4 linked regions of the Struthio camelus genome follow. The protein of the gene in region 1 interacts with the protein of each later gene in a pairwise test. Links are inferred from orthologs where the notes say so. Each region holds a gene or a part of one and is shown in the gene's direction. Other genes may lie near its edges. The genes, in order: PRKAB2, RHEBL1, DAO and STX11.

Evidence for each region.
Region 2: the proteins of PRKAB2 (region 1) and RHEBL1 interact in binary tests that used the Homo sapiens proteins (3 or more experiments, as listed by UniProt). The link is inferred for Struthio camelus from reciprocal best matches to the Homo sapiens genes PRKAB2 and RHEBL1.
Region 3: the proteins of PRKAB2 (region 1) and DAO interact in binary tests that used the Homo sapiens proteins (3 or more experiments, as listed by UniProt). The link is inferred for Struthio camelus from reciprocal best matches to the Homo sapiens genes PRKAB2 and DAO.
Region 4: the proteins of PRKAB2 (region 1) and STX11 interact in binary tests that used the Homo sapiens proteins (3 or more experiments, as listed by UniProt). The link is inferred for Struthio camelus from reciprocal best matches to the Homo sapiens genes PRKAB2 and STX11.

Annotation. Positions count from the first base shown.
Region 1 is NC_090949.1:9,238,421-9,246,374, forward strand, and holds the start of PRKAB2 (5'-AMP-activated protein kinase subunit beta-2), read left to right. Parts: upstream 1-4,949; 5' UTR 4,950-5,041; intron 5,042-5,258; exon of another isoform or gene 5,259-5,485; intron 5,486-5,521; exon of another isoform or gene 5,522-6,305; intron 6,306-7,457; exon of another isoform or gene 7,458-7,608; 5' UTR 7,609-7,626; coding exon 7,627-7,788; intron 7,789-7,954. Other genes in the region: flavin-containing monooxygenase 5, read left to right, coding at 1,019-1,207, 1,293-1,455, 1,984-2,126, 2,799-2,998, 3,120-3,472, 3,578-3,650, 3,928-4,285. UniProt on the Homo sapiens protein: Non-catalytic subunit of AMP-activated protein kinase (AMPK), an energy sensor protein kinase that plays a key role in regulating cellular energy metabolism.
Region 2 is NC_090969.1:932,984-940,585, forward strand, and holds the start of RHEBL1 (GTPase RhebL1), read left to right. Parts: upstream 1-4,593; 5' UTR 4,594-4,738; coding exon 4,739-4,790; intron 4,791-5,729; coding exon 5,730-5,801; intron 5,802-6,259; coding exon 6,260-6,327; intron 6,328-6,433; coding exon 6,434-6,516; intron 6,517-6,663; coding exon 6,664-6,720; intron 6,721-6,804; coding exon 6,805-6,852; intron 6,853-6,965; coding exon 6,966-7,050; intron 7,051-7,125; coding exon 7,126-7,215; 3' UTR 7,216-7,602. Other genes in the region: DHH (desert hedgehog protein), read left to right, coding at 1,558-1,819, 2,658-3,325.
Region 3 is NC_090958.1:18,966,299-18,973,742, forward strand, and holds the start of DAO (D-amino-acid oxidase), read left to right. Parts: upstream 1-4,436; 5' UTR 4,437-4,586; intron 4,587-5,609; coding exon of another isoform or gene 5,610-5,675; exon of another isoform or gene 5,676-5,792; intron 5,793-6,125; exon of another isoform or gene 6,126-6,312; intron 6,313-6,345; exon of another isoform or gene 6,346-6,410; 5' UTR 6,411-6,473; intron 6,474-6,847; exon of another isoform or gene 6,848-7,052; 5' UTR 7,053-7,171; exon of another isoform or gene 7,172-7,444. Other genes in the region: SSH1 (protein phosphatase Slingshot homolog 1), read right to left, coding at 374-414, 5,610-5,675. UniProt on the Homo sapiens protein: Catalyzes the oxidative deamination of D-amino acids with broad substrate specificity. Required to catabolize D-amino acids synthesized endogenously, of gastrointestinal bacterial origin or obtained from the diet, and to use these as nutrients.
Region 4 is NC_090944.1:84,731,376-84,739,125, reverse strand, and holds the start of STX11 (syntaxin-11), read left to right. Parts: upstream 1-4,743; 5' UTR 4,744-4,893; intron 4,894-7,750. UniProt on the Homo sapiens protein: SNARE that acts to regulate protein transport between late endosomes and the trans-Golgi network.

The DNA of each region.
Region 1 (7,954 bases):
ACCACCTCCCACAGCCCTCAAAAGACAGGTCCTGCTGATGTGCCCAGATACCTTGGGCGGGATGTTGCACCATGCCAGTAAAGGGATTTGGCGTTGTTTGGCTGAAATTACACTGATTTTGTCCCTAGTGGCTTTGAAACAGCAACGGTGGAGCGCAGGGGAGCAAGAAGCTGAGCTGGCAGGTAGGTCAGGCAGAAATCATCCTGAGAGCAGGAATGGCAGCTGAGCCGGAAACACCAGAGTTGGTTCAGCAGCCTGAAAACCCTGCTGGGGCAAGGGCGATGGTATGGCGGACGCCCAAGGAGCATGCCACCTCATCAAGGTCCGAGCACCCCCACCGCTCCAGGACACCACCAAGCCCCATAGCAAAGCCTGAAGGAAACACGGAAGCAGGGCACCGGTGGGAGCGGGGAAGTCGAGGCACGGAACTGCCCACCATGCTGCAGAGCACACCTTGCTTGCCATTGCTGCATTTCCTCATACCAGTTCAGAGCTTCCTCTCCCATTTTGCGGGGTGGCTGGTCCCACCTGCTGCTTCCAAGGCACACCATGGAAAAGAAGAACTGCTCTGGCAGCAGGATGTTCCCTCAGTACAACCTCATGTGCTGACCACATGGGAATGGTCTCCTTTACAGCAGCAGCGGGATAGGACCTTCCTCACAGACTCACTGCTTGGGCCAGCCCTTAGGCCAACGTTCACTGTCCTGGCTCGGCCTTCCCATCCGCCCCTTCCCAGGCTGTTCCAGTTCCAGTTCCAGTCCCCACTCCAGACCCAGGCTGTCCTAGTCCCAGTCCCCTCCATCTCTTCCTGGGCTGTCTTGGTTCAACTGCTGTCACAGCTCCCAACAGCTGCAGCTTATTCCAGCTCCCAGGTAGGGCCTGATAGACCCCGCAGGCACGGCGAGGTACAGGCAGAGATACGCTGAGCCAGATAAGCGCCTGCAGGGAGCACCCCGCAGCCCCGTCCCTTGCCCCTGGGAGTCCCAGCAGGTGCTGAGCGTGCCCACCCATCCCGCAGGAGCACCCCGATGAGGGCCGCGCCAGCATCTACAAGTCCGTCATCATCAACACCTCCAAGGAGATGATGTGCTTCAGCGACTTCCCCATCCCCGACGACTTCCCCAACTACATGCACAACTCCAAGATCATGGAGTACTTCCGCATGTACGCCCAGCACTTCGACCTGCTCCGATACATCCGCTTCAGGGTGAGCGCCGCGGGGCCGGGGGGTGCAGGGTGCCCTGGGCAGGCTGGGCGCAACCTGACGCCCGCTCCTTGCCCCCTGCGCCCAGACCAGCGTGTGCCGCGTGGCAAAGCGCCCCGACTTTGCCGTCACCGGCCAGTGGGACGTGGTCACCGAGAGCGGTGGGGAGCAGGAGTCGGCCGTCTTCGACGCTGTGCTGGTGTGCACCGGGCACCACACCAACGCGCACCTCCCGCTGCACACCTTCCCAGGTACGCTGCGCTGGCTCCCCTGGGCCCACCGCGGGTCTCACGGCCCCGTGGGCCCTTTACCTGCTTCCCAAGGCCTCTCAAAGCACTCGTCTCTTTAGGCTTAGCCCTGACCCCACTGTGCTTGCTGCCAAAAACGCCCCTCGTGGGTTCCTGCATCAATCCCCACTGCAACAAGCTGCAATCCCACCCATTTCAGTGGTCTATCTGCCACGAGGCTCTCACAGTGCCTTCAACATCTGATCAAACTGCTCTGCTCTGCAGGCAGATACTGCTGAATTGTGAAAAGATTTAGGGAATGGGTCTCCGGTCCCAGCCCTGCTCCACAAACTGGGCCATGTCCCACTGACCATCTCCCAGGGTGGAGATGCCACCAGCTCTCTGGGCGCTGTCCCAGGGCTGCATCACTCCTGCTGGTCACAGTGGGCTTGGCTCATTCCCAAAACACATTACCAGCCCGAGCCGGAGGACAGCCACCCCCTCGCCCCGTGGTCCCTCCCTGGCACAGCTCTGCTCTGCTCTCCCTCCCAGGGCTAGAAAAGTTCAAGGGCTGGTACCTGCACAGCCGGGAGTACAAGACCCCGCAGGCCTTCTCAGAGAAGTGCGTCATCGTGGTCGGCACCGGGAATTCAGGCATCGACATTGCTGTGGAGCTGGGCCACACAGCAAAGCAGGTGTGCCCACAGCATGGCTGGCTGCAAACGCACGGGGATGCTGTCCATCTCCTAGGAGAGACTCATTTAAAACCAGGCTGGGCTTTCACCCTGTGCCTGTGCTGCCAAAGCCGACCAGTGGCCAGGCACGCTCCTTCTCCCTCATCTCGCTCCCAGACTATATTTATTCCTGGCCCATGCAGGCCTGTCTGATTTCAGGCCAATGCTGCACTTCAGCTTAAAAGGCTATTCTCCCTCGCTGCTGTGTTTATTTATAGAGAGCAACCTAATCCCAAAGGGTATTGGGGCAAGCCTCCTCCATCGCCTGCAGGCTCCCCTCCCTGCTGTGCCATATCCCTCTGAGAGCATCTCCCACCCCCTTTGCAGAGGGTGGTCGTTGTCACCCTAGCAGCTGTGTCAACAACCCCAACGTCCAAGGGGCACAGCAAGAACACAGCCCTGTCCTCTGGCTGCTGCACAGAGCCTGGAGCCAGCGCATAATTTAGGGGACCACCCATTGACTGGGACCATAGCGGCACCCTGACCCCCTCCCAGCTGATCCCAGCTGCACGGGTGCTGCGCAGGGGATTCGCATGCCTCCACGGGGGTGCACAAAGGAAACGGCTCTCAGGACACAGCTCTTGTCCCTCATGCCACACTTGGCACCTCCACCTCCCCTCTCCTCCCTCCCAGGTCTTCCTCAGCACCAGGCGCGGGGCCTGGGTGCTGCACCGCCTCGCCGAAAGCGGCTACCCCTTCGACTTCTCCTACCTCACCCGCTTCATCCAGCTCCTCCAGAGCCTCGTTCCCCTCTCTGTTGGGAGCTTCATCCTGGAGAGGAAGATAAATGCCCGGTTCGACCACGCGCTCTACGGCCTGCAGCCCCAGCACCGGTAAGCGCAGGGATGACACACGGGTCCTGCACCAGGCACTGGGACGCACCACCCGATGGCCCAGAGAAGCTGCCGCATGCCTGCCCCATGCCCTTTGCAAGGTTTCTCTGTGCTCTTCCAGGATCCTCCACCAGCACCCGACCATCAACGATGACCTGCCCAACCGCATCATTTCGGGCAGGGTGAAGGTCAAGCCAAACGTCCGCGAGTTCACAGCAACTGCCGCCATCTTCGAGGACGGCACCAAGGAAGACGACATCGATGCCGTGGTCTTCGCCACAGGATACAGCTTCTCCTTCCCCTTCCTCGAGGACTGCGTGACGGTGGTGGAGAACCAGATCTCCCTGTACAAATTCATGTTCCCCATCGACCTGCAGAAGCCAACGCTGGCTTTCATCGGCCTCATCCAGCCCCTCGGCGCCATCATGCCCATCTCCGAGCTCCAGTGCCGCTGGGCCACCCGCGTCTTCAAGGGTAAGCGAGCCAAAACAGCGCCCCCCCCCCCCCCCCCCCCCGCGCAGCTATAGCCTGTGGCCCGCAGGCCTGAAACCTGAACCCGCTCGGGCTCTTCCCCTCTAGGGCTGAACAAACTGCCTCCGAGGTGCGACATGGAGGCTGACATCAACCACAAGAAAGAAGAGATGGCCAAGCGGTAAGACCCCGCCGGGAAACGGGGCCAGGCTTGCACGGCCGCCGGCGGTGAGGCAGCCTGCGGGGTCCTGTCCCCTCCCGGCCCTCCCTGCATCCCGCGGTCCCTCCCGCCTTCCCGCACCCGCTGAGAGGGATGTGCTGCCCCGTCCCCCTTCTCCTCCATCCCTGCTCACTTTGCGCCACCCTCAGCCCCAGCAACCCTGCCACCAGCCCTGAAGCTCCCCACTCGGCACGCCCCCAAAATTGCAGCCCTAGCGCCCGTCCACCTCCTCCCGCAGGTACGTGCGGAGCCAGCGGCACACCATCCAGGTGGATTACATCCCCTACATGGACGAGCTCGCCTGCCAGCTGGGTGTCAAGCCCAACCTGCTCACCCTCTTCCTCACCGACCCCCGGCTGGCGACGGAGGTGCTGCTGGGCCCCTGCACCCCGTACCAGTACCGCCTGCAGGGGCCGGGGAGGTGGGCCGGCGCCCGGCAGGCCATCCTGACCCAGCGGGAGCGCGTCGTCAAGGCCCTGCGAGCCCGAGACGGCACCGCTCCTCCCCGCACCACCTTGGTGCCCCACGCCTTCAAGGTCCTCCTCAGCATCGGCCTGATCGTGGCCACGCTCGTCTACGTCTCGCTCTCTCCTTGACCCGCCGACCCAAGGAGACGGGGTCCTGCCCGCGCTCGTCCTCCCTCCCTCCGGGCTTCGGCCGGCACGGAGGAAATCGCCTCCCAGAGAGAAGCTGTCTCGCCTCCCGCCGCCATCGTGGCCCCTCGGGAAGAGGGCAATAAAGCTCGCCCGCGGGCCGAGGGCATCGCTGAGCACACTGTGTGACCTCCTGGGCCGCCCCCGCCCGGTCTCCAGCCCCGTGCCCGGGCCAGTCCCCTGCAGGCCCCGCCACCCCTGGGCCTCGCACCCGGGCCGGCCCTGCCCTCAACCGACATGGCCGCTCCGAGCGCCGCTGAAGCCCACTCGCCCTCAGCCAAGATGGCCGCGCACCAGGCCGGCCGCCCCTAACAAAAATGGCTGCCGCCCGCCCGCTGCCGCACCGACATCTGCTTGAAGCCAGGCCGCCCTCCAAAAAGATGGAGGCTGCCCGGCGGCAAAGAAGCGGGGCTGGGGAAGCCCGTTCCTGCCAGCCCCGCTGGGCCACTCCCGCCGCCGGGCCTGCTCTCGGGGCGGCCGCCCTCTTATCGCTGGGGGCCCGGGCAGGCGCGGAGAGCGGGCGGGCGGGGCGCGGCCATAGAGAGCAGCGCGTGGGCGGGCCAGAACGTCTCGCGGAGGCTGGCGGTGGCGGCCGGCGGGGGGAGGGGGGAGAGGAGGCGGGAGCGGGAGGGGGGTGTCGCCATTTTGGACGGAGGCGGAGAGCGGGGAGGAGGCGGCGGCAGCGGCGGCGGCGGGCAGGTGGGGCCGGGGCGAGGCCGTCGCTGTCCGTGCTGGGGCCGGGGGCGGCTGGTTGCCCGTGGCGCGGGCTTGGCTGGCGGGTGGCCGGGCCTCCCCGAGGGGACGGTTGGGCGGGCGTTACCGCGCCGCGGGGGCCCGCGGGTGACGGTGGCGGGGCCGCTGCGGGCCGGGCCGCGGGGTGCCCTGCTCTGCCCCGCGCCGCCTGGGCCGGGCCCGAGGCCTCGGCCCCGCTGGGTGCGCTCCGCGGATCCCCGATGAGACGCTCTCTTCTCCCTGATTTCCCGGCTTGTCAGCATCATCATCATCAGGCCAACTGAGCTCTTGTTGCGTTTGCTAAGAGAAGGGGGGGCAGGAGAATCCAGTGAAATGAAACTTTCTTGGCTTACTTCAGTGCCAAGAGGCGTCGACGGAGCAGGCTGTGGGCAACTGTCGCCGAACAGCAAGGTGGTCTCCGCTGAACGAATCCCTTCGGATGGCTCGGGCGTGTTTTTTGTGACAGGGTAGCTGGCCCAAAGGAAGAGGGAGAAGCAGTAGGTGTGGTGGGTATAGGAGGGCTTTGTGCACCTCGCCTGTCATTTCCACGAGGAAGCGGGGGGAAGCAGGGGCCAGACGAAGCTAGTGTTGTCATTAGTGACTTGCATGATGCGTTAGAAGATACCTGTGCCAAACTCTCAGAGGATGCTGTGCTACAAGGGGTGGCTGAGCTTTGGAGGATTCAGTTGGTAAAAGTTAGTTCAGTAAAGCGAAGTACAGCAGGCTGTGCTCGCAGAGCACTGAAATGGACTGGCCACAGGAATTTACAAGCCGCAAGCGAGTTGCTGCAGAAGGATGTTGCTGTTCCAGTGCAGCAGCGTGGCTGTGTGCAGGAGGCAGGAGATGCTTCTTGTCTGCACTGAGCTTTGGATGTCACATTTTGGAAAGGAGTAACCACCTGGGAGAAATCTTGGGGAACATATAGAGAATGTGGCCACCGAGGGAGACTCAGAGGGATTGGATTGCTTCTAGAAAAGAGAAGGGGGAGCTTTCAAATCTGAAACAGTCTGCATGTTATCTCTCAGATCTGTTTTGTTCAGCCCTTCTTACCTTGCTGCTAGTAGATGAGAAGTTAAGAGAGTCTTGGCCGAGATAGCGGGCAAGAAATTTCATAATACCACATATAGTTGAGCAGGGGCAGGTTCTATGAGGAGCTGGTTCAGTCTCCTCTAGGCGAAAGGGGGAAGATGTCAGAGCAAGTGGAGCACCTCTCCTGTCCTGGGCTGTTCAGGTACACTTGATCTTAGCTCAGAGGGGGGGCTGTGGTATGTGCTAGCTGTCCTCTCGAGCTATCTTTTAGCCCTAAGGATTTAAGAAATACTTTAGTAATTGCTCTGCAAGTAATGTTCTGAAGCCTGGCTTTGGCTGGCAGCCTCGCCTGGCACCCTACGTATAACCTGACCTTCTAAACAAATCTCAAATGTCACAACTAAGTGTATGAAGTAAGGCTGGCCGTCCTATTGCCTTGCCCACAGAGCTGGCAATCAGCGTAGTATGACTGAAAGCATGTGAGCTACAGAATAAACCTGGGAAAGGGGCAAGGCCCACAGTCCTCCGCTGCTGCAAGTTGGGTAAGGCCTGGAGCAGGCCTGAAGAGACCTATGTAACTTGTGATGGCTTTGTTTGCCCTGAGAGGTGTGTAGTTGTTAGTGGCTTGTTGCCATAGGGCAAGTTCCTCCTGCTTTGCATTCCCTGAACTGGATGAAATTGGGGATGATGCCCGATCTCCACCTGCAGAGCAGTGCTGAGGCAAGCAGGCTTACCTTTCACTCATGATGTGCCTCTGGATGGCCAGCCAGATGTCTGACCGCTCGTGGTAGTGCCGCTGGCGAGGGCTGTAGCAAGCAGACGCCCCTTGTTGTGCTGTGCCGGAGCTGACGTGGCCACTTGCCTGGTGAATGATAAGTGAATGCCATCAAGAGCTGAGCTTTCTGCAGACACCAGGGCATTAGCCTTATGCCTTGGCCAAGCTCCAGCTTGGGCAATTCCACTCAGACTGTTTAAACGCTCCCTGTTGCTTTTGCCAGGCACAAGGCTCTGCTCGTCTGCCCGCGAGCCCTTAGAGAGTTGCTGAGGGCTGTTAAACAGCTGCTACTCTCACTCCTTGGCTGTTTTCTTGCTGGAAATAGAGATTTTGTCTGCAGAGTCTGTTGGGACTATGAAAGAGGCTCTGTTTATGTCAAGCAATTGATTTGCCAATAAAGGTTGGCTTTATTTTTCCCATCAGCCCCTCTGCTATGCTGGCTGGTGAGGGTTGTGTAGGATGCAGTGCAATTTGTGTCTGTTTTAGAGTATAACAATTACCGGGTTGACTAGAGCAACGGCTCATAAGGATATGGCTATAATTAGCTCAAGCTGTCTTGTTTGTTAAATTCCCCTTCAGGTCTCAAACTTGGCAGTGGGAATGAACTTTGAGCCTTTTTTAGGATTGCTGTCAGTCTCCCCGGGCAAAGGATGTTGGGAAACACTGCCTTCACTGCCTCACTGCAGGAGCCCGTGGGCATAGGAACATCGTCATCTTCTCTCTCCCGCAGAGCTGCTGCTGAGCTGCCATGGGAAACACCACCAGCGAGCGACTGTCTGGGGAGCGCCATGGCTCCAAGTCCCACCGCTCGGATGGCTCTGGTGCTCCCCACTCTAGCAAAGAACATCCACACAAGATCATGGTGGGCAGCACCGACGACCCCAGTGTTTTCAGCTCTCATGACTCCAAGGTATGGGCTAGCCGCTGCCTTCCCGGTCCTTCCGCTTGAGGTCCTGGCTGGTGCTTCAGCTCGCCCCTGGGGTAGCTCTGCTGGGGTGGTTCTAGCTGAGCTGAGACAATTTGTGCGGAGTCAGTTTTGTCTGAGGGGGTAGTAACAGCTGACGTGAGAGCTGCTT
Region 2 (7,602 bases), on another chromosome or scaffold:
GATGCACCGACCCTCACCAGGACGCACTGCCCCTCCCGGTGCGGACAGACCCTTTGGCGAGGGGGGCACGGTCCCCCCCGGGGGCGCACGGTGCCTTCCCCGCCCCTTGGCCCGTCTCCTCCCGCGGCCCTTGGCGCGGCGGCAGGATCGGGACCCCCGGACGGGGCGGTCGCGCCGAGTTAGACATTAAGGACCCGCCGTCAGGGATTCCCGGGCGCGGCGGGCGCAGGAGGGGTCCGACCGGGGGGAACGGCGCCTCTGTGCCGGCGCCGGGGCACCTGCCTCCCCCGGCGGAGCCGCCTGTCTGCCCCAAGCGGGGAAACTGAGGCACTGCCCGAGCCGGGAGCCGGACGCCCGGGGTCCCTCGGCGGCTCCGCCGGCAGCGGGCGGCTCCGGGCCGGCCCGGGCGCGGCGGAGCCGGTGCCCCCGGCGGGGAGCGGGGCGGGGGGGGGGGGTCGCGCTCGGCCCCGCGGCTGTCCCGCGTGGCCCCGCGGTCGCCATGGCGCCGGGGGATGCTGCGAGCGGCCCCGGGCGGCTCCGCCGGCCCGGCAGCGGCGGGCGCGGGCGCGGGGCCGGCCCGGAGCTGCGGGCGGCTCAAAGGGCCCTTTGTGGCCGGGCGCGGCATTCCCGGGGCCTGAGGTCAGCGCCGGGCTCGAAGGCGCCTATTGTCGGGGCCGGGCCGGGCCGGGCCGCCGCATTCCTGCCCCCCCGGGCCCGGCCGGGCCGGGCCGCCCCGCGCCCGCCCCCGCGCCCGCCCCGCCGCAGCCCCCCTGCACCGGGGCCGGGGGCACCGGGCCGCCAGCCGCCGAGGCAGAGATGGGGGGGACCAGGCAGCTGCACCCCGGCGCCCTGCAGCCCGTGCCAGCCCAGCCGCAGCTGAGGCGGAGAGGGCCCCAGGCGTCCTGGAGCCGCCCGGGACCCCCCGCCTTCCACCTCCTATCTGGGCGCACAGCCCAGGAGCCCTGCATCCCCCGACGCCCCCTCCCTTCAGACCCTGCTCCCTTTGCTGTGTGCGAAGGGGTCCCGGCAGCACCATCCTGCCCTGTCCTATCCCAGTGCCAGGAGACGGGTCTAGTTCAGGGTCGGACGCTCCCCCCAGCCCTGTCCCATGGGCCTCCCCGCTGGGAGCAGCGGGTTAATTAATCACAGCCACAGCCGTGGGGAAGGAGCTACCCGGGCACCGTCCCGTGCCCTTTCCGCCCGGCTGCCCTGGAGGGGAGCGACACCTGCGACGGGCACCCCGGGCCACGTTAATGTTTAATCCCCGCCCAGGCGGGCTCTGCTTTGGGGCCTGGAGCAGACCCAGCTCCCTGAGCCCTGCACCCACTCTAGGGGCCCCTGGGGAGAGGGCACCACCTCGGGACCCCCCTTGGAGCCACTTGGGACCAGCTCCTTGCAAGCCCCATGCAGGTCCTGGGTGTCCGTCTGTCCGTCTGCACCTGTAACATCTCCCTGGGAGAGGGGTCCCGGGCGGCTAGGGCAGAAGGCGCTGGGTGTCGGGGTCCCGCGCAGCGGCGGGGCTGGGCTGACGCCGGCACTGCTCCCCACCGCCCCCAGCGCTGCAAGGAGCGGGTGAACTCCCTGGCCATCGCCGTGATGAACATGTGGCCGGGGGTGAAGCTGCGGGTGACGGAGGGCTGGGATGAGGACGGGCACCACCTCCCCGACTCCCTGCACTACGAGGGCCGGGCGCTGGACATCACCACGTCGGACCGGGACCGGGACAAGTACGGCATGCTGGCACGCCTGGCCGTGGAGGCCGGCTTCGACTGGGTCTACTACGAGTCCAAGGCGCACGTCCACGTCTCTGTGAAAGCAGGTACAGCGCAGCGGGGAGGGCAGGGCCCCAGGGCTGCCCACGGGCTGGGGGGGGGACACGTGCCCCTTCCCACAGGGCTGGAGCGCGAGCCTGTGCGAGGGGCAGGTGCCCCAGACAGGCCCCTCTACCCCGCCAGCCTCAGTTTCACTGCCTGTCCTGGATCCACTTACGCCGCAGCCAGGTTGCGGCAGGGGCTGCCGCTAGCCCGTGCCCAGACCCAGCCGCGCAGACCCTGCTTGGCTGCAGCTCAGCTCTCTGCAGGCCACCAGACAGGCAAAAACCATAGCCCCCCCCCCCGCAATCCTGTGCAGCCCTAAGCGCCCTGGAAGCTCATCTGGAAGCTCATCTCCCTTTCCAGCACGGAGCAGAATAAGTATTTTTAAATTACAGCCCCGCCGGACTGCCCGTGCCGCAGCCCCCGTGCAGTTCAGTCCAGCGCAGGGCTGACAATAAACAGAAAGTGAAAGTGGCCCTAAATGCCAGCGGCCCGGGCGGCGCGGGGCCAGCGCGGAACAAAGGGCGTCAGTGCGGGCAGCACAAAGGGGCTCTGCAGCCCCGCCGTCTCCCCGGGCTTCGCAGCGGGCAGGCAGGAACTGCGGGGGGGTGACAAATACCGGCTTTGTCTTGGCGGTGCGCTAAGGTCCGGTCCAAAGGGCTCCGCTCGGGGCTGTTCCCCCTCCGTGGGCAGCTGCTGTCCCCGCCAGGTAGCAGCTGGCGGAGGGCGCGCTGGGCCCGGCCCTCAGGGATGGCCCCAGGGACGCCGGGTGACAAGGGCTCCCAGGCTTTCCTAGCCCCCCCCAGGGGTGCTGGGGACCCATGGGTTTCTCCCTCCGCCCAGATAACTCCTTGGCCATCCGAACCGGCGGCTGCTTCCCAGGCCATGCCACGGTGACACTGCGGAGCGGCGAGCGCAGGGGCCTCTCCGACCTGCGCCGGGGCGACTGGGTGCTGGGCGCAGAGCCGGGCGGGCGCCTGGTGCCCACCGAGGTGCTGCTCTTCCTCGACCGCGACCTGAGCCAGCGCACGTCCTTCGTGGCCATCGAGACGGCCAGCCCGGCCCGCCGGCTGCTCCTCACCCCGTCCCACCTGGTGTTCGCGGCCCGGGGCACCGCCAACGGCACGGCCGCCTTCCTGCCCGTCTTCGCCAGCCGGGTGCGCCCGGGCGACGCCGTGCTGGCCCACGGGGCCGGCGGGCAGGGGCTGCGGCCCGCGCGGGTGCTGCGGGTCTCGCGGGAGGATGGCGTGGGCGTCTTCGCCCCGCTCACCTCCCACGGGACGCTGCTGGTCAACGGGGTGCTGGCATCCTGCTACGCCGTGCTGGAGAGCCACCGCTGGGCGCACCGGGCCTTCGCCCCGCTGCGCCTCTTCCACGGGCTCCTCTCGCTGCTGCCGGCCCGCGCCGAGGCGGGCAACGGCACGGCGCCCGAGGCGGGCATGCACTGGTACTCGCGCCTCCTCTACCGCCTGGCCTGGGGTGTGCTGGGCCACGAAGCCCTCCAGGCCTAGGCCCCCGGCCCCCAAAGTCGCCACACTGCAGATATTTAATGTGCCACACTGGAAGCGGGAGGCAGCGAGGGTGCAGCCGGTCCCCGGCCCCCGCCTCGGACTGGGCGCGCTGGGGAGGGGGAACAGGGACATCCCCGGGCCCCGAGGAGGCCGGGGTGCCTGCTGGGCCCTGCTGTCACACGAAGCATTGCCAAGACGAGCGTTGCCCGGGGTGGCTGGGAACGGGGTATCGTGGGCAGCCCTGGGACCTGGGGCTCAGCCCCCTGCCCGGATCCTGGGGGCCGCCCCGCAGCACTGCCCGGGCGCCTGGCTGGAAAACCCCGGAACGGCTCTGCACCCTCGACCTAGGCCCCCGCGCCCCCCTGTATTTATTGCTTTATTAACCACTGTGGCTGGGGACAGCTTTGCTGCCTGGTGAGCTGAAGCTGGGCGCTGGGGGACCTGCCCTGGGGCCACATCCAGCCCCGGGGTTGTGGAAGCAGCCAGTGCCCCAGCTCCTGGCGGCGTTTTGGCCGTCCCCCAGCTCTGGGCCTGCACCGCCGTGAGCCGGGGTGTCCCAGCCCCGTCCCCGCGTGGCTCGGTGCCGCAGGGCAGGCGGGGAGGGGACCCCCTCCGCCCCGCGGGCGGACGGGGCGCCTGCGGCAGCCATGGGCTGCCCCGCACCGGGCCCAGCTCTAACCCGCGCTAACCGCTAACCTGCCCTGCTTGAGAGTTTTATTTTTCTATTTATAAATGGTAATATAAATGTCCTCCACGCCGACCTGCCTGGACAGCGGGGCCAGCTCCGTCAGGGCAGGCGGCAAATGTGCTTTTAACCATTTCTGTTTAAAAAAATAATACTATTTAATTGTTTTGGTAAATAAAGAGAATCTATGGCCCTTGTCGGAAGGTGACTGGCAATGGGGGGGGTGGCCTGGCCGGGGCACCTGGGCACGGGGGTCCCGGGGGGCAGAGGCTGGAGGAGCCCCGGAGGGGCAGGGCCAGGGTGGGGAAGTCTGTAGGGCAGCAGGGGCTGAAGGAGGCCGGGCTGGGGGTCCTGGGGCTGGGGGTCCCCGGGGAGGGTCTCCGGGGGGGTCCCCGGGGCCGGGCTGGGGCCGGGCGCTCCCCCACGTGGCCGGCGCAGGTGTGTGGCACCCACGTGGCCCGGGCCGTTCCCTCCGTTTTCATGAATGGAACCGCGGCCGCCAGCGCGCCTGCGCCGCCCTCTCGCCCCGCCCCCGTCGCCGCGGGGTAGCCAATGGGAGCGGCGGGCGGGCGGTGTTGTGGTCACGTGGGGCGGCCGGTGTTGTGGCGGCGGGGGCCGCCCCCCCTTGCACTCCCGCCGCGGCGGGCGGTTTTATAGCGCCGCTTGCTGGGCCCGCCCGCGCCGCCCCGCCCGCCTGCCGCCCGCCTCCGCCCCGCGCGGCGTGGGCCATGCCGCTGGTGCGCTACCGGAAAGTGGTTATCCTGGGCTACCGGGCCGTGGGTGAGTCCCGCCGTGCCACGGCATGGCTGTGCACCGGCGGGGCGCCCGCGCAACGGGGCTGCAAGGAGGGCGGCGGGGAGTACGGCCGGGCGTGCGCTGGGAGGCGCCTTGCAACGGGCTGTGCAAGGGGGGGGGGGTCCGTGGCAGGGTGTGCAGGGGGAGAGGGGCTGTGCAAGGGGGGGGGGTCCGTGGCAGGGTGTGTAAGGGGAGAGGGGCTGTGCAAGGGGGGGGTCCGTGGCAGGGTGTGCAAGGGGAGAGGGGCTGTGCAAGGGGGGGGGTCCGTGGCAGGGTGTGCAAGGGGAGAGGGGCTGTGCAAGGGGGGGGGGTCCGTGGCAGGGTGTGCAAGGGGAGAGGGGCTGTGCAAGGGGGGGGGTCCGTGGCAGGGTGTGCAAGGGGAGAGGGGCTGTGCAAGGGGGGGGTCTGTGGCAGGGTGTGCAAGGGGGATCCTGGTGGGGTGTGCCTGGGTGGGAAGATGCTGTGCAATGAGGCTTTTGGGGGTATGGCCAGGCCCCCTGTGTGGGGCTGTGCACTGGGTGACTGCTGAGGGGCTGGGGAGGTGCAGGGGCTGCGGTGCAGGGGCTGTGCTGGGCCCCTCCATGGAGGCTGGGGATGCCTGGGGTGGCTCCTGCTGCCAAGAGCTTGGTGCACACCGGATTTCCTGCCCCTGGCAGCGGGGGCTGCCCTGACCTGCTGGGGGTGGGGGCTGTGCTCAGCCTGGGCACCCACCCCAGGAGTCCCCCATCACCCCCCCCTGCCAGGGGAGTCCCTGGGCTGGGGAGGAGGCAGTGAATGTGGGGACATGATGGGGAGATGGCTCACTTCCCTTGGCCATGCTTCTTCCCTGCCTGTGGCTGGGGGGTGCCTGGGACCCCCTGCCTGGGGAGGGGCTGTAGCCCAGCTTCCCCACTCAGCTTGGGGCTTTCGCACTCTCCTCCCCAGGCAAAACCTCCCTGGCTCACCAGTTCGTGGAGGGGAAGTTTGTGGACTGCTACGACCCCACGGTGGAAAGCAGTGAGTCCCAGGCTGGGGGGCCGCCCTGCCTGGGGTCGTCCTTTCCCGCAGACGTGTGATGAGCACAGATATGTCCCTGCTCTGGCGCGTGTGGGAGCGGGAGGGATCTGGGCAGGATCAGCTCTGGGGGGACCATGGGCTGTCCTGAGACCTTACAGGGACCCGGCCGGGGTCTGCAGATGGCTCGACCCTGGCATGAGCTTGCTGCCCTTTATAGGGTGCTGGGAAGGGCTCGGGTACCCCCTGGGCTGGGGGAAGCTGGGCTGCACCTGTCTGTCCCAAAGCTGGTGGCTGTGAGACGGGGGCCCTGGCTGGGGCAGGAGGGGCCCATCCCGCCCTGGCAAGGAGGGGGCTAAGCACAGCAGGAGGCTGGTCCAGGCCAGCCCTGGAGCATGCAGAAGGACACCAGTCCCCAGGCGGCCGTGGGCAGCCCCGCTAACCCAGTACCATCTCCGCAGCCTACAGCAAGATGGTGATGGTGGGCAAGGACGAGTTCCACCTGCAGCTGGTGGACACGGCTGGGCAGGTAACACCCGGGAGCGGCGGGGTGCTGGGGCGGGGGCCGGCGCGTAGCCCCCCGGGGAGGCGAGGGGCTGCTCCGGCATCAAGCCCACCCGCCCACCCTCCTCCAGGACGAATACACCATCCTGCCCCACTCCTTCATCATCGGCATCCACGGCTACGTGCTGGTGTACTCGGTGACATCGCTGCGGAGGTGAGCGCCGGCGGCGGGGCTGGGGACAGCGGCCCCAGCCCTCCCGAGCTGCCCCTCGTCCTGCCGTCCCTTCCCGTGGGCCTGGGCCGCCCCGGGGGCTGCCTGGGTGCTGCTGGGCAGCGCTGGGAGCCCCTCTTCTCCCTGCAGCTTCCAGGTGGTGAAGACTCTTCACAACAAGCTGTACGAGAGCAGGGGGAAGACACGGTAAGTGCTGTCCCCTCCGGCGCCGGCCGGCGCCAGCCCGGGCCGGCGGTGCCGGGAGCCCTCACGCTCTGCCCTCGCCTGCAGCATGCCCGTGGTGCTGGTCGGCAACAAGGCGGACCTGTCCCTGCAGAGGTAAGAAGGGTGCTGGGGCCCCTCGCCCTCCCCGGGGCTGGCTGCTGCCGCCCCCCAGGCTTGGCGACCACCCGGCCCCTCTTGCCCGTTCCCCTCCTCTGCCGTTTCTCCAGCCGAGAGGTGAAGACGGACGAAGGCAAGAAGCTGGCGGAGTCGTGGGGGGCCATCTTCCTCGAGTCCTCGGCCAAGGAGAGCCAGGTCGGGGCAGGGCAGCGCGTGGGGTGGGCAGCCGCGCCGGCTCGGGGCCGGGGGCTCACGTCTCCTCGTCCCCAGGTGACCCAGGGCATCTTCACAAAGATCATTGAGGAGATCGACCGCGTGGACAACTCCTACGGCAAAGAGCACAACTGCCGCCTGATGTGAGCCCTGCCCGGGGCGGACCCCCCCTGCTGTGGGACCTTCCGGTGGGGGCGGCAGGGCCGCCGGGTCCCGCTGCCGTACGGGTGCCCCCCGATGCCGCACCTCACGTGTGGCCGCCCGCGGCGGGCCGCTTTGCACAGGCGTCGGGGGCCGGTGGTGGTCACGGGGCCGTGGAGGGTGCTGGGCCTGGCCCGGCCCGGGGGCTCCTCGCTGCCGCTAGCCGCCATCCGGCCCCATGCACACGGACACGGAGCTGCTCCCCGGCTCCGCTGCCCCCGCGCCGCGGGAGCGGGGCTTTTCCGAGCCTCGGCCGCCTGCTCGCTTCCTCCGGCCGCCGCCTCCTGCCGTCGTCCTCCCGGAGCCGCCGCCGCGGAGCAGGAGCTGAATATG
Region 3 (7,444 bases), on another chromosome or scaffold:
CTAGCAGTGTAGCCCTCCAAATCTCCAATCTCAAAGCAGCGGAGAAGACAGAGATGTTGAGATAACAGTTTTGCGACCACAGTTGATAAGCAATTTTCCAGTTTGCGCCCGACAGGAAAAAAAACAAGTCCTCTTGTATGCTTTCAGTTCATTAAATGCTCATCTCAAAACTAAACCGATAAGGGAAAGACCAGCCCCAGTTTCTAGACCTCTGCTTGTTGCAGGCCTGACCACGCAACCCACTCCAGGCAACCATACCTGCTCCCGGCCAAAGCTCTGTTCAGGTCCTGGCCAAAGATCAGAAGACAGACGTTACACGGCAGACAACCAGAAACAGTGGAAACAATGTTTTGGGCCGAGTGGCTCTGCTTACCTCACGTTTAATTTACGTTCTTCATCACTGCCAACCTCCAGCTGAGGGGAGAAAAGAAGGAAACAGAACAAGTTACATGCTGTTTGTTGCCATGTTACAACTTTAAAAGATCCTCATGCACCATCACTGGTGCAATCACTGCAATAAAGGGGTTTGGGTGGCTGGTTTTTGGACTGCTTATTTTTTTCCCCAGTGTCTGAGATAAATGAAACTCCTCAGCCATATAAGCAATCAGCACCCAGTGCTGGGTGACAAAGGGGCTCACAGGGATTTTAAAGTCTATGGCCCTAATCCTGCAAGCTGGTCCTAGCGTGCAGATCAGTTTAAAGGTCGCAAACCTAGATGTTACCAAGAAGGCACGTATCACTCCTACTGAGCGCACACGTGCGAGTAGAATCTGTCCTAAGTGAAATACCATTAACAAAGAGTGGGGCATAAATTAACACTGCAATTCATGGTGTGCAGTGACAGCACAAGTGCCCTCCAGTGGAAGCAGCCAAAACTGCCTATCTCCGTCTCTGTCCCAGCCTCCAGCAGCTAACTCCTGGCCTTCCCCTGGCCCAGCCTCAAGGGAGCAACCCCGCACTAATCTGCAGCTCACTGGGTCCAAGGGAGCCTTCGCAAGTCAGCAGAGCCTCCTCCACCATCCCTGAGCTGCCAGCTAGCCGATGAGGCCCACCTCCGCCTGGAAAGTGGGCTCCTGATCCCTGGCAGAAGACACGTCCTGAGGCTGGGAAGATGTGGTGGGACTGCTCAGCCACCAGGAGGTTCTACAGCTGCAGCGTTCCTGATAAATATGCTATTTTGAACAGCAGGGATTTATTAAAACAGTAGCTTTTCCACTAGACAGTAGTGGAAACTTTGCACCTGGAAGCAAACTTGGCTTTTCAGGTGACATTACTGAGCCTTAAGTATTATTTACTTTCCTTAAAACAGAGCATACTAGCTGACTTAAGCCTGCTTTTCCAGGGAAACATTTTCACGTAGCTCTGCTTTCCAACCACCTTCTTCAACTTCTCTATTAACTTTTGGACAAAACGTATATATAGTGGCTCATTTCTTCCAGAGATAACCAGACAGAAAAGTCCAGGCAGTATCCCTTCAAAGCAAAAGGTTGTCCTGGGAGGCTGGTCAGCTAGATCTCAGAGAGCCCACAAAGCAGAGACTTCATAGATGGGCCTGCAACAAGGAAAAACCTTCATTCTAAGTTGCAACATACTGGACACCAGAGCCTACTTAACCTGGAGAGACACAAATTTGTTAGAAATCAGGTTCCCTCAGGTCTAGTGCTCAGAGCACATTTTGTTATTTACAACAGCACAGCTTAAAACCCACATCAAATAGGGCTACAATAAGGGTTCCCTGTCTCCAGGTGATTTTGTAAAACGCAAGAACAAGCAAATATTTTCATGTAAAACATTCAAAATTAAAAGTTTTGAGTGTGTGCATGCGGGTGCAGGAACTGGGACGTCCCACACGCCCCTCGAACTAAGGCTCAGCAGGTCAGAGCTCACAAGAGCAGCACTGTTTACAATGCACAAGAACAAATAATGCTAGAGGAAAACAAAAGCAACTGTGCAGCCCGGATGCTATATAGCCCTTTGGAGGAAGAGATATATACAAAACCCGTGTAAAATGACTGCAGCTGATGGAGATCTGGAGAAAAATATACCGCCTCTATTTTTAGTTTGTTTACATTGTGCATTGAACACAGCTGAGTGCAGCCCCAGGGAGGCCCCCATGCTCCCGCCCGGACGGGGCGGCAGACCGAGCCGCGAGGACATCGAGGCATCCCCAGTCTCCTCGAAGGGCAGACCCCTGCCCTGGGAAGGCCTGGCAGGGCTGTGGCCTTCCTGAAGCAGATCTTGTGTTTGTTTGGGTCTGTCACATAGCAACAGGGGAGAGAAAAAAACTTTTTTAAACAAATGTGACCGTGAAATCATGAAGATTGTCAGTAGAGATTCCACAGCAGAGACCGTCTCCGAATCTGCTTCAGGCTCATCTTTCGCAGAAGCTGACCTGGTTTCAACTTGACTGCCCCTTTATTTTAATTTAAAAGGCTGCAGTAAAAACCAAAACAAGGCAGGAGCACTCAGCGTTACAGACTGCAGAAACCTCAGCAACGAGGTTCAGCTTTTAGGTCAGAACATCCCTCCGAGCTGCCAGGTTTTACATTATAACATAACGTTGGTCTGCTCTGGAGCTGCAGCAAGCAGCCCCGCTGCAGCACGCCCTGTCGGCACGGGCATCAGCCAGGTCTCCGGAGGCCGCGGCGCTGCAGATGGCTTCACCCCAGGCCCCGCGCCTGCCCTGGGCGAAGCTGACGGCCGAGCCGGAGCAGCGGGGACGAGGACCTGGCACGGAGATGTAGCGGGTGTGGAAGTGAGACGGCAGCTGAGCTAATTGAGTGCATGCAAGTTTGCAAAAGTGCATTAACTACTCTCTCCTCAGATAAAACACCCCTGAGAATTTTTGGCATGCTACACTGGCACGACTGCAAGTCTCTTGAGGACAGCAGCATCCATTTATAAACTCTTTCAGGTTTATGAGTTAAGACAGGCTGCAAAAAACTTACAGTTAGGAAGGATATTTGGTCTTCACTTTCTGTTTTAAAAATCTTCTAACAATTTTTCACACAGGCTCACACCCTGAAGGGCCTGTAAAGCCATTCTTGCAATAAAGATCATAAAACATCAGGGAAAACACTGACATTTCTTGATGGGATTTTTCTTTTAAATAAACTTTATAGGAAGAAAAACAACATGTTTAATTTTCAAAAGGACTGTTTATAGTTTTATGGAATTTTATGCCAGAAAGAACGATTCAAACAGAACGAGAGCTGATGCCTTGCTCTGGGTGCCTCCGAGGTATACCTGGCCCGCAGACGCGTGCGGGCAGGAAGCGCCTTGCCGCGCAGAACATCAGACGTGATGCTCAGGGCAAGGTTTTCTACAGAGCAAGGGAGACCTCTAAGGTCACCCTAATAAAATAAGTAAATAGCACAGTGCTCCTATACAAGCAGCACCGAATGCAGGTGTATATGAAAAGGTAGGGACATACAACTTTGATTACTTTTCCACCTGCACCAGTCTAAATCCAGCCTAATTCCACTGACTGCAATAGGGTTACAGCTCATTTACATTTGTGTAGGTCAGATGACCAGTAGATCTTGTCCCCTTCAATAGTTTAACCTGTAAGAGCTGTCTAGAACAGAACCCAATGCAATTCCTTAAAAGAACTGGAAAAGCACAAATCTCTCTCGTAACGTCTCCAAGTTTCTCAATGAACACAACACGTTTCCAATACTCTCTCCCTGCAGCCTCAGAAACCCCAACTACGTAGCATGGATCTACAGGAGAAAAATTAGAGAAAGGAAGGGATGAGTCACTGCCTACGACACGAAGCGCATAAAGCAAACCACGGGCACCTCTCGGCGAGGGAGAGCCTCTGACCCTGGCAGCGCTTGCCTCCCCCATCCTCAGATGAGCTAATCGGGGGAGTCACAGGGACCTGACAGGTGACAAATAGGATTGTTTACCTGATGGAGAATGGATGCAGAGCAAAGCCAAGGGCAGTGAGCACCGGAGGAAGGACAGGGGAGAGAGGGATGCACAGGAAGGACAGGGAGAAAAACGCTGGGCCTGCCTTTGGGGGAATCACAGAAGAAAGTCAGGCTACGTGGAAAGAAAGGGATGCACAAGGAAGAAGGAAAATTATCAAAGGGGGCTGCAGCGTTTGGACGGCATATGGGAAACGCGATGAGGGAAGAGTGCTAACCTGGGCCGCGAAGCCTAAGGCAGGGAAAGGGCTTAGCGAGGCAGAAGCAGGAGAACGAGCTGCGGGGGAATAAGCCAGAAGAGAAGGACAGCAGAGCGGGGGTACAAAGGGTTTCCACCGCAACATGAAAAAACACAACGGGTCAGGGCCAGGGAGGCGCAGAGGAGCGTTACAGGTGCGGCGGGTTACGCGGCACGTGCCGGAGGGGCGGCAGCATCCCAGGTACGGGGTGGAGCGCGACCGAGCCGGGGGGACCGTCCCGGGGGGGGGGGCGGCAGGCAGGGGCAGGCCGGGCTCCCCTCGCCGCAGGAGCGAGGGCACGCTGCAGCGCCTGTGGAAAGAGGAGGCATTACCGCAGCAGGGGCTGCGCAGCAGCAGAGGCGTAACGCAGGGCGACGCGGCCAGCCGGGCCGAGCACCGCCGAAGACAGCGCGAGGTGAAGAGCGGCAGCAGCAGCGCAGGCGTCGGGCAGGGAGGAGACGAGGGGCCAAGCAGCGCGGACCGCTGGGCGAAAACCTGCTGCTTGGTTGGGGGGGGGGACGGAGATGTAGCTGACCGAAAACAGAGCGCAGCAGGCTGCCCTGGGTTTTAGCAAGCCCAAGTTGCTGGCGAGCAGCAACCAGAGCTGGGGACAACTGTCTAGGGGACGGGACGGGATGGGGGGAGCCAAGGGGGGGGGGCCGAGGAGGGGCACGGGGGGGGGCCGGGACGGTGGGGGGGGCCGAGGAGGGGGGACGGGGGGGACAGGACGGGGGGGGGACAGGATGGGGGGGGACAGGACGGGGGGGCCGGGACGGCGGGGGGGGGCCGAGGAGGGGGGACAGGACGGGGGGGGCCGAGACGGACGGGGGGGGGCGAGGAGGGGGACGGGGGGGAGGACAGGACGGGGGGCCGGGGGGGGGACAGGACGGGGGGGGCCGAGGAGGGGGGACGGGGGGGGACAGGACGGGGGGGGACAGGACGGGGGGGCTGAGGAGGGGGGACGGGGGGGGACAGGACGGGGGGGGGCCGAGGAGGGGGGACGGGGGGGGACAGGACGGGGGGGGGCCGAGGAGGGGGGACGGGGGGGGACAGGACGGGGGGGGGGCCGAGACGGACGGGGGGGGGCCGAGGAGGGGGGCCGGGGGGGGACAGGACGGGGGGGGGGGCCGAGACGGACGGGGGGGCGCTGAGGAGGGGGGACGGGGGGGGACAGGACGGGGGGACGGGAACGGACGGGGGGGGGGGCCGGCCGAGGAGGGGGGCCGGGGGGGGGCAGAGGCAGGAGCAGGGGGCTGCCAGGCGAAGGGGCAGCGGGGCCAGAGCAGAGCTGAGGCCGGGCTCGGGAGGGCGGCGGGAGGCCATGGGGCGGCCCGCGGGGCTGGGAGAGGGGGGTGAGGGCGCTGCGAACGGGCCCGGCGGGCTCGGGTCGGGCTCCACCGCCGCCCGGGGCCTGCGGGGCCGGCGGCGCCGGGCTCACCTCGCTGGTGCTGGCCGAGGAGGCGGCGCTGGGGGTCGGCGAGCGCTGCAGCGTGACCAGCGCCATGGCGGCGGCGGGTGGCGGCGGCGGCGGTTACAGCGCGGCGCCGGCCGCCTCCATGCGCGGCGCCGGCTGCGCAGCCTCGGCGCCCGCCGCCGCCCGGCCCGCACGCCGGGGAGGGGCTGCGGCGGCCGCCCGGCCGGAGGGGAGGGGAGAAGGGGGCGGCCCCGCCGCCGCCGCCGCCTCAGGCCTCCTCGGCCGCGGCCCCACGCGAGGCGGCCGCCCCACGGCCACGCGCGTAGCACAGGCCTGGCCGCTGCGGGGGCGTTGGAGGGGTTTCCCCTCCGCGGGGGTCTCCTCCACGGAGCGGGGCGGACCCGGCGGCCCGAAGCCGCCTTCGTCGGCGCGCAAAACGGGCGCGTCGTCCGGGCGAAAGAGCGGCCACGGCGGGTCGCGGCCCCTCGCACGGTTCCCCACGGCCCGGCTGGGCCCCCGCGCTCGGAGCCGGCCCGAGGGCGCGGCGGGGGTTCGGGCTGGCGCCGCTGGGGCCCAGCTCAGGTCGCCCCACGCTCGCGGGACGCGCGGGTGCACCCCGAGCACCTCGGCTTTGCAGCGCCGTAGCAGGGAACGGGCATCGCACCCGGCCCAAAGAAAGTGTGAGGGGGTCAGCGGTGCCAAAAGCAAGAGGCGGGCGAATAATAGGGTAATTAGTATAATAGGCTTTGCTGATTGTATGTAAAGCCCTTAATAATTCAGGGCTCAAAACAACTGCTTTTTCCCCCTCCTCTGTCTCTGCAACAGCAGGGAAATAGGGAGTTGGGTGGCGACACGGCGGAGCCCAGGGCCGGACGAGGCTTCACCCAGGTGAGCCTGCAGACTTCACCTCCCCTCGCCGGGCGCCCGCGGCTCGCGTCTGCCCAGCTCCTTCCGCGGCCGCGTCCTCCCTGGCGGGGGTCAATGCGCCGCAGCGTTTGGGTGCAGCATCCCCAGCCGCGCGCGCTCCTTCCCGGTAAAACCGCCACCAACGCTGCAACAAAACACCTCTCTCCCCAGATGGAAATCCTGGGCCAGGGAGTCCAAATACGTGTTTTAAACTTCACTATGTAGATTAGTCCCCGTTTTTTTTTTTTTTTTTTACCCTCATTGCCACTTTTAACAAAAGCTTCAGGCAGTTCCTGCAGCCCTCAGCAAAATCCCTAATTGCAGCAGCTCGGTCCAAGCACTGCCTGTGCTTCCAGGGCTGCCTCCTCGGGCAGGAATTGTATCCGCGCAGAAAGAAACCTGCCTCGTCAGCCCAGAACGCAAAACGCTGGCGTTCAGGAAGGGAGAAAAACGAGCGTAAAAATGAGAAATGAAGCCCTTGAACCCTTCAGAGCGGGCAGCAGGATGGCACGGCTCCGGGGTGTCTGTCTAGAGGACGCAAGGGCTATTGCTCTCTTGCAGCACGAAAACCGAGCCCAAAGCATCACGACTTCTCCTGCATCCAGGGAGAAGGAGCCCCGGCCGCGCGGCCCCTCGCCAGGCCCCATCTCCTCCATCCCAGCAGTGAAGTACCCATGGAGGCAAGTGCCGCCACGGCCCCTTGCAGGGGACTGCGGCCACCCCCTTTCCCTTTTGGAGCAGCGGCTCCAGGCAGGTTTCCAGCCGCGCTGCGGGCACCGGGGCTGGCCGGCGCGGGCGCTCCACCTCCTCAGCGGGACCTCCCTTGGCAAAGACTTTGATCCTGTTGCCCAGTGCCGGGGGCGGATCGTGATCCCTCTGCCTGAGGCAATTAAACCTTGGACTGGCAATGACTTTTTGGGCTGTAAACAAGCTGCATGAAGAAGGTCATTTGT
Region 4 (7,750 bases), on another chromosome or scaffold:
AAAGTACTGTCAGCATGAATAAGATGATCCGTCGACATGGCTCTGTAAAACATACACTTACACAATTCTAGTATAGAATTGTTCTGTTTCATTGAAACTTGTTTTTAGAATATAATTGTTTCTCTGAAAGACTGATTGTTTGAAAAGGATGCTCCAAGAATCCATGGAAACATTCTAATTTTCTGATGGCTATTTCTGTAAAGGTGTGGCTATTCTCTACAGCACTCTTAGCAGGCCATCCATGCTCTTAACCCCTTGCAACTTCTCCCTTCAGTCCTGATATACAGCCTGGCTCTTTCCTGCTTAGAGTGTTGTTGAGGGAAGAAAGAGGCATGGAATTTTTCGTAATACAAACTTGCCTCTAGACTCTGCTAGTTACTAAAACTATACCCAAATCTGAACTCCTGGTATGTGTCTTCATGTCCAGGCTTTTTGTTCCATCTTGACTGTTACAAAGATTTCTTTGTCTCTGCGCTGTGAAGTTACAAAGTGTTGCATCCTCTATATTTCAGAGACTAACTGGTGTTAATCTAAAGGCACGCAAATGTACAGAATAGATGCCTCATTCTTACCTGATAGAGGTTTTAGATTAAATGTCTTTATTATAGTTTAGAAATAGGATTCGGTAATACCTCTCATTAGGCCAGCTCATGTGACTAGAAAACAAACAAACAAACAGAAATAATCCAGATGATAGAATCTCTGTCATATTGTATATATGGGCGGTACTCGTGCATTCAAAGGTTATGACAACAGCATAGCCATTCAGTGGCTTATTTCATAATGAGCCAGGCCTTCAGCTCATGGAAATCAGTATTGCTTCATTGGCTTCAGCTGAACTATACTTATTTAGGTCTATTATGTGAAAATATTTTGAATTTGTTCATTTATCAGTTACTAGGTTAATAAAACATGCTGGCAGCTGCCATCATCATCTGCATCAACACAAGACCCAGGGCTATTGTCTTTCCATCCAATCTGACCTTTAATACAATCTTAACTATATTTGCAGCTCTTTAAGAACTCAAGTATGTGTAATGAACCTTCAAAGCCATGCATGAGTGCCAAGTTGTTCACAAGGAATTCAGAGGCATTAAACCTGGGGCTGGCTTCACATGCCTTTCAGGCATAATTGGAAAAGGATAAATTCTTTCCTAAGTAAGCAAGAGAAAAGGCCCTAAGGTGGGGACATTCTCTAACACTGGAGCATTTATCTCTGTATAGCTTTCAGCAGTGCATTCTTTTCTGACAACTTTCTTCATTCCTAATGATTGAGAGAAAAGAGGCAAGTGAAAATAAAAACATCTGTAGGGCTGAATATTGCTTTCTGTTATCACTTGTAAATCCAAATAACTCCACAGGCTTCGACAAAGAATTAAGCTGGATTGAGCTAGCTGCAGAAATATTTGGCTTCTGAATTCTTTTCAATAGTCCGTTCCTCATACAACCAACTAGGATTTTTTTACATCATCAAAGTTTAGTGAGGAGGTTGTTCAGTCATGTCAGTAGATTTTGCCAGAGGCTAAAAGAAAATGTGAAAGACTCAGTGTAGGAGTGCTTGCTGGTCCTTACTCAAGGTGGAAATATGGAAGTTTTGTAGCTGAAGACTCACTTTCCCTGGCAAACTAATAAATGAAAGAATTTCATAGCACGAGTCTCTTATTGTATCCCTCCACTAATCTTGGCAATTAATAAATCATTCAATTTCAGGAACATTTAAAGGCTCATGAGGTTAAAAAGTAAAAAGTTGGTATTAGTATAAAGCTATTTGTCCAGGACTATGAAATGGTAATTTCATTGATATGATGCATGCTAGATTCTAGCTTAAAAGAGGCAAGTGTCTTTCATGTGTAGGATGACATGACAGTCTTTGTTATATGACTTAGCTGCTTTTTTTTTTCTCGTAACACTGCAAATAGCCAGCCTTTGTAGGATCTAGCAACATGTGTTCAAGCACTTCAGATTCTTTGTTTGTCAATGGTGAACTTTTTTAGCTAGCTATTCAGGTTTCTTAATTAGTTAGCTATCTCTGAAATTTTTCAACCTTCTTTAATTTTGGTAACTGTAAGTGACAGAATTTATAGAAATAAAGTCCTCTCACTCTTCACATCTTTCTTGCATGGTTAATGATTTAACAGTAGTGCTACCTTGCACCTACTCAGCTGTTGAGGAAGTAACAAAAAGTTTCTCCCATAGAAGAGGAGGCTCGCTGCTCATTTATTTGGTCTTCCATACCCTCTTCACAAACTATATAGCAGATACCAGATGTTCCGAGACAAGCATTTTGTTCTTGAATGGATCATTGGGCACATCAACTAATACACTGACAACTGCTTTTGCTGGAACAGCAGCAGGTTAATTTGCAATTGTTGTTCTGCGTCATACAAAGTAGAATATATCTTTGATTACCCATGAAGTTGCATTAACATGCAGTTCTATTTTCAGCTCTGATTGCGTTAACAACGCTGAGGTCCCATTTGTTTTCTGCAGTCCAGTGGCAAGGAGAAAGCTATCTGCCTGGAAGTTTGGAATGCTGTAGTCAATCTTACAGAGCAGCACCTTGGAAAAGAAGAGAAAAAACCAAAAATGCTTCAATGCCTTCCAGTAGTTTTAGAGGACTGATGGAACCCACTAACTTCAGTTCCAGAATCAAGGACGAAGAGAAAAATTCCAGCAAAGACTCCAAATGCAAAGAATACATACATACATACATATATATATATGAAATACCAAAAGGGTAAGACTCAGAATCAGCTTAGCTGCATAAGAATATAGCCATTTTGAGCTGTAAAAATGAACATCCGCTGATAAGCAAAGATTGTTGTATTAATTCAAAGCCTTCTAATTTGCTTAGATTTTTGTAGGAATGGTGTGGCTTAAAGGGCGCTCTCCAAGTCTTGCAGTTTGCCCCATTCCAAAGTGAATAGTAGTTAGAACTATCTGGAAGGGCACCACAGTTTTGTTTTGTTTTTGGTAGGTGAAGAATGTACTTTTTCCCAGCTGTATTCCCAGAAATGCCTGGACTGCTCTGCTGAAATCTGCCCCAAAACATGCAAAGAAACAACAGAAGGCACACTTGGTACTTTTTGGCAAAGTTATAAACAGAGAAATTCTTCATGCTTGCAGAGAAGAGGATTCCCTTGCCAGAGGAAGGGGTTGGAAATGTATATTAAAAAAAAAAAAGTGCCTATGGATTACAGGTAAAAAATGAGTGACTATTTTACAAATGGAGAAACGCACAACTTGAGCTATGGCTTTGGGTTTTTTCCCTTTTTTTCAGGAAGAAAGAGTCACTGTGTCAAATATATTTTTTAACTGATCATCAACCATAAAACCTCAAATCTTCCCAAAGTTTTTTTCCTGAAACAAGAGCAACAATAGAAAATAAGGAGGGAGGAAGTTTTGTACCTCTTTGCAACAGTCTCCATCATCAATACCTTTTCTCTTGTCATGCCCAGGATTGGATTGATGCTATTAAAAAGAAATTTTGGAGCCCTGTTATTTATAAATGAGAATGGTCCTGGAAAGCACAGATGCTCTTTCAGTTACTCTTTGGCACCAATAAAAACCTAACTTCTTTATTTTAAATTTTCCAGATTGAAATTATCTCTAACTTTTGTGGTGAATGGGAGAAAAAAAATACACATAAAAAAATGGGTCTTAAAGAAAGGAAAAGCTTCATTTCACAGAAAGATTTAAACAACCTCTTTAGCTAGTTTTAATAGCTTTGTGGCTTCACGAGAGTTTTTGTACTAATATTGGGGAAAATGTCTTTCAGGAAGGGCCGGAGTTATCAGAGATCAAATCACCACCCCAAAATGGGCTAAATTTGACCCCTACTCTTTGAAGGATTGTGCAAAGAGCACATCTTCTTTTTCACACACTGAACAGAGAAGTAATTTGTTTGATGTACGTTCCCAGATGCTCCTTTGACATCGTATTTCAGCACGCACACACTGAAGCCAGCGGGACCCGACAGGCCTTGCCGTGCCAGGACAGCCATGGGGGCGATTCTGGCAGACTGTCCTCGCAGGTGAGGGTGAGCGTGGAGGCGGCCGGTGCGCCGGGGTGGCGCAGAGCATGGTGAGCCGCGCAGGCTAAGGCCTGACAGAGCAAGCAGCACCGCCTGGAAGACGGCGTTAGGGCTGCCCGTCCAGACGGGAGAAAAGCCAAGCAGGTTACATGCGGGCAGCGCGCGTCAGGGCAGGGCTCCACCTGAGGCTAAACGCTGCGACAGGAACCCACTTATTAGCCGGAGTGAGTGTGTGCGGACCTGTGCCGTGCCCCACGTTATGACGGTGACCACAGTGCATGGGTTACCGAGCAGCTCCCTGCCACATAGTCCGGGCTTGAGAAGCGCCCAGGGCTGTGGCGGCTGGAGGGTCTGGGAGGCAGCTGCGCCGCCCAGTTTGCCCCACAGGCCCCAGGACGCCCCGTCGGCACTGGCTCCTCCTCATCCCGGGGAGCCACCGCTTGTCCGTGGGGGCAGGAAAGGGCAGGCTCGCTCCGTGTGAGGGTTGGCCACAAGGGCTAGGCAGGCCCACCCACGCTTCCCAGCACCGACGGGGCGGGCTCCCCCCACCCCCTCGCGAGGAGGAGGAGGAGGAGGAGGCAGGGGTTAGCGCCGCTCCGCGGCCGCCCGCCCCTCGACTCGACGGCCCTGATGGACAGCCCGCGGGGCGGGCCGAACCGGCCGCTATGCAAATCGCCCCGCCCTCGCAGCCAATGGGCGGGCGAGGCGAGCGGCGGAGGCGGGGCGCCCCGCGGAGATTAGCGCTGCCCTGACGGCGCGGGCTCTCCGGCGGCACCGGCACCTTTGGGAGCACCGCGGGCCGAGCCGAGCCGAGCCGAGCCGAGCCGAGCCGAGCCGAGCCGTCCCGTCCTGCCTGGGCGGTGAGTACCTGCTGGGCAACAGGGGTTGCGGGGGAGACGGCGCCTTCTTCGGGGGCGGGGAGCGGGTTGCGGCTGAGCTCCTTCACCCGACGGGCGCGCCTCCGTCAGCAGCGGGGAGATGCTGCCGGATCCCAGCACCGGAGCCCTTTTCGCACCCCCGAGCCCCGCTCAACATCGGCCGGCGCCCCTGGCCGGCCCGGCCCGCCCCGTCGGGGCAGAGGGTGACTGAGGGCCGTGCCGGGGCCCGGACGCCGCGGCGGCGGCGGTCAGTCCCATCCCTTTCTGTCGGGGAGGGAGCCGCAGCTCCTGCCGTCACTTGCGCCTAGTCTAGCCAGTAAGCGAGGAGGAAACGTGGTTTTCGGAGCGCTTTGCAATACGGTTTTGCGTAAGAGTAAGCGAAACTGCCCCATTTCAGCACGGTCGCCCGGCCGTCGCGGAGGGGAAGTTGCAGGGGAGCGCGGTTGCTGTCTGAAGCCCCGCAGCTTTAGCTACCGTGTTACAGCTGTAGTCTCTCCTAAGGAGAAAAAGGGATTGCTGTTGGTTTTTCATGGTGTAGCAGGACGAGCAAAAACCAAAGGCGTTTGTAATGCCGAGCCCCTGAGGGTCTCTTCATGCCGGCTGAACGCTTGTCTGAATTTCCAGCTGCCTTGATTGTCTGACTCAAAAGTCAAACTTATTCATAGTTCTCATATGTCATTACGAATAGCTGCAGAGCAGACTTTATAGATAGTTGGTTTTATACGCAAAATATAATAGCTTTTACGCCTTTCTTCTGCATCAGAATGGCCAGATCTGCGAGTGACTGCAGAAGTTAGCATTCTTTGATTGTTTCCTAGTAATTGATACTAATTTTCTTTCCTGCGAAGTACTCGTGTATGCCTGAGATAACTGCATGCAAGCAACTGTGTGGTACCAGGAAAGGAAATGACTAGAATAACAGCATTGGCCTAAAATGGACATTCAAAGTTCTTGTTCCTGTTTTTAGATAGTATTTTTTGAACTATTGTGAAGCTTTTAAAAAGGGATTCAAATGGGAATATGTAGCTCTTTAAGGTGAGAGTACAATTTAAGGGATACTGTTTTCCTAATAATAGTGTTACTTGCTATTTAAATAGTTTTATATGGAAGTGGTATAGACGACTACAATTTTTCTTCATTCAGAAGAACAGACTGAAGTTAGACACCTAAAAAAAGGGAGGCTGAGATGCCCCACACCCCAACGTGTGAACACCATTTTCTCACCTCTGTTTTTTTCACTAACTACATGGAATCACCACTACTCTGAAACTGAAATTGCATGTTAAGTCATATGGCACATACATCTGCTTTTTGGCTGAGACTAAAACTGTAAGTTAACCTCTGTTGTCGTAAGACAGCCTTATCACGAAAACAAGCATTTTCTGAAGATCTCGTGACATGTTACAAGAGGGATAGTGCGATAACATTGACTTCTGGGCACTGCAAATAAACATAATGAGTTGCATATTATATCACATAGCCATGGAGATTTCTGATGTTGTGGGGTTAGGCTCCATATCTAAGGCATTTTAAAATTTTTTGAAATCGTTTTCTGTTTTGCACTATGCTGTTTTTGGAAAGTGAGAGGGAACGTTTTGTGAGACAAAATGCAATGATAATATAACAATAACTAAGACCTGCTCTAAAAGGAGGAATGCTAGTTGCCATTGGTACAAAAATAGTAGGGAGTAGGGTAAAGAGTAGGATACTGGGTAAAATAAATTACCAGAATTCTTCCCTAGCATAGGCACGCACTTACACTATGCTAGACGTGCAATGAGACAGGGACTAAGAGGGAGTTTAGCGTTAAAGCAGAAAATCATGCAAACATAGGGTCACAAAGAGATTTTAAGACATTACTTAATCCATTCTGGTGCATTGTAGCAGTGCATGTAAACCAGACCTGAAAGAGATTTTTTTAGCCTGTCTTCATTCTCTAAGGAAGAGAGTTCCACAATGTTCCCATGGAGAACTGGTCCAATTTTCAGCTCCTCTCCCAGTAAGAAAGTGTTTCCTGCTAAATGTCATATGTGAATCAAATTGATTGCTTCGTGTGTTTCTGATGGGAACAGGGATCCAGGGAAAAAACTGATCATTTCTCTTTTGGTAAACCTCTTTAACATACTGGAGTACTGTGTCTCTCTCCCTGGTTGTCTACATAAAGTCATTTGTAGACAGTTTCTAGTTATTTTGCAATGTTCCTAGTTTGGTGCTGGATGTAGTCTTCCAGTTGAGGCCTTGCCTATGCCAAGCAGTGCAGAATCAGTACTTTCCTTGCTATCGGTTATATAAGGCACATCAGCCCAGATGTGATTTTTTTTTTTTTTTAAGCAGCATGGTATCGTGAACTTATTTTTTAGCTTGCAATCTGCCGTAGCCCCACTGATGCTTTCCTGCTACCAAACTAGGTATTCCCTATTTCCTATCTGTGCAAATAATATCTTCTAAATAGGCCATCCCAGGTTTGTCTCTCTACTGAATTTCCTTTTATTTTTGTAATCGCTTTTCACGCTTGCCAAGATCATCTGAATTCTAATTATTTCTCCTCTCTGTCACCAAATGCTTGTTTATTTCCCTTTCCAGTTCAGTGTGCAGACTGTACAGGTTTATGCTTGGTTTCATCCTCCAAGTTGCTAATAAAAAATATGGATAACCTCCTAGTTTGACAGAAAATCATCATAATATTGGCATATTCAAAAACAGTCATGATAGTTCGAAGATAACTGGTGTGTCAAATATGAAAGTGCTTGACCAGATAGCCCCTCTATTATCTTTTATCTGGTCCATTTGCTTTCTTTGACTCTTTGGTCATCTCTGTAGTGCTGAGATGACAAAACAT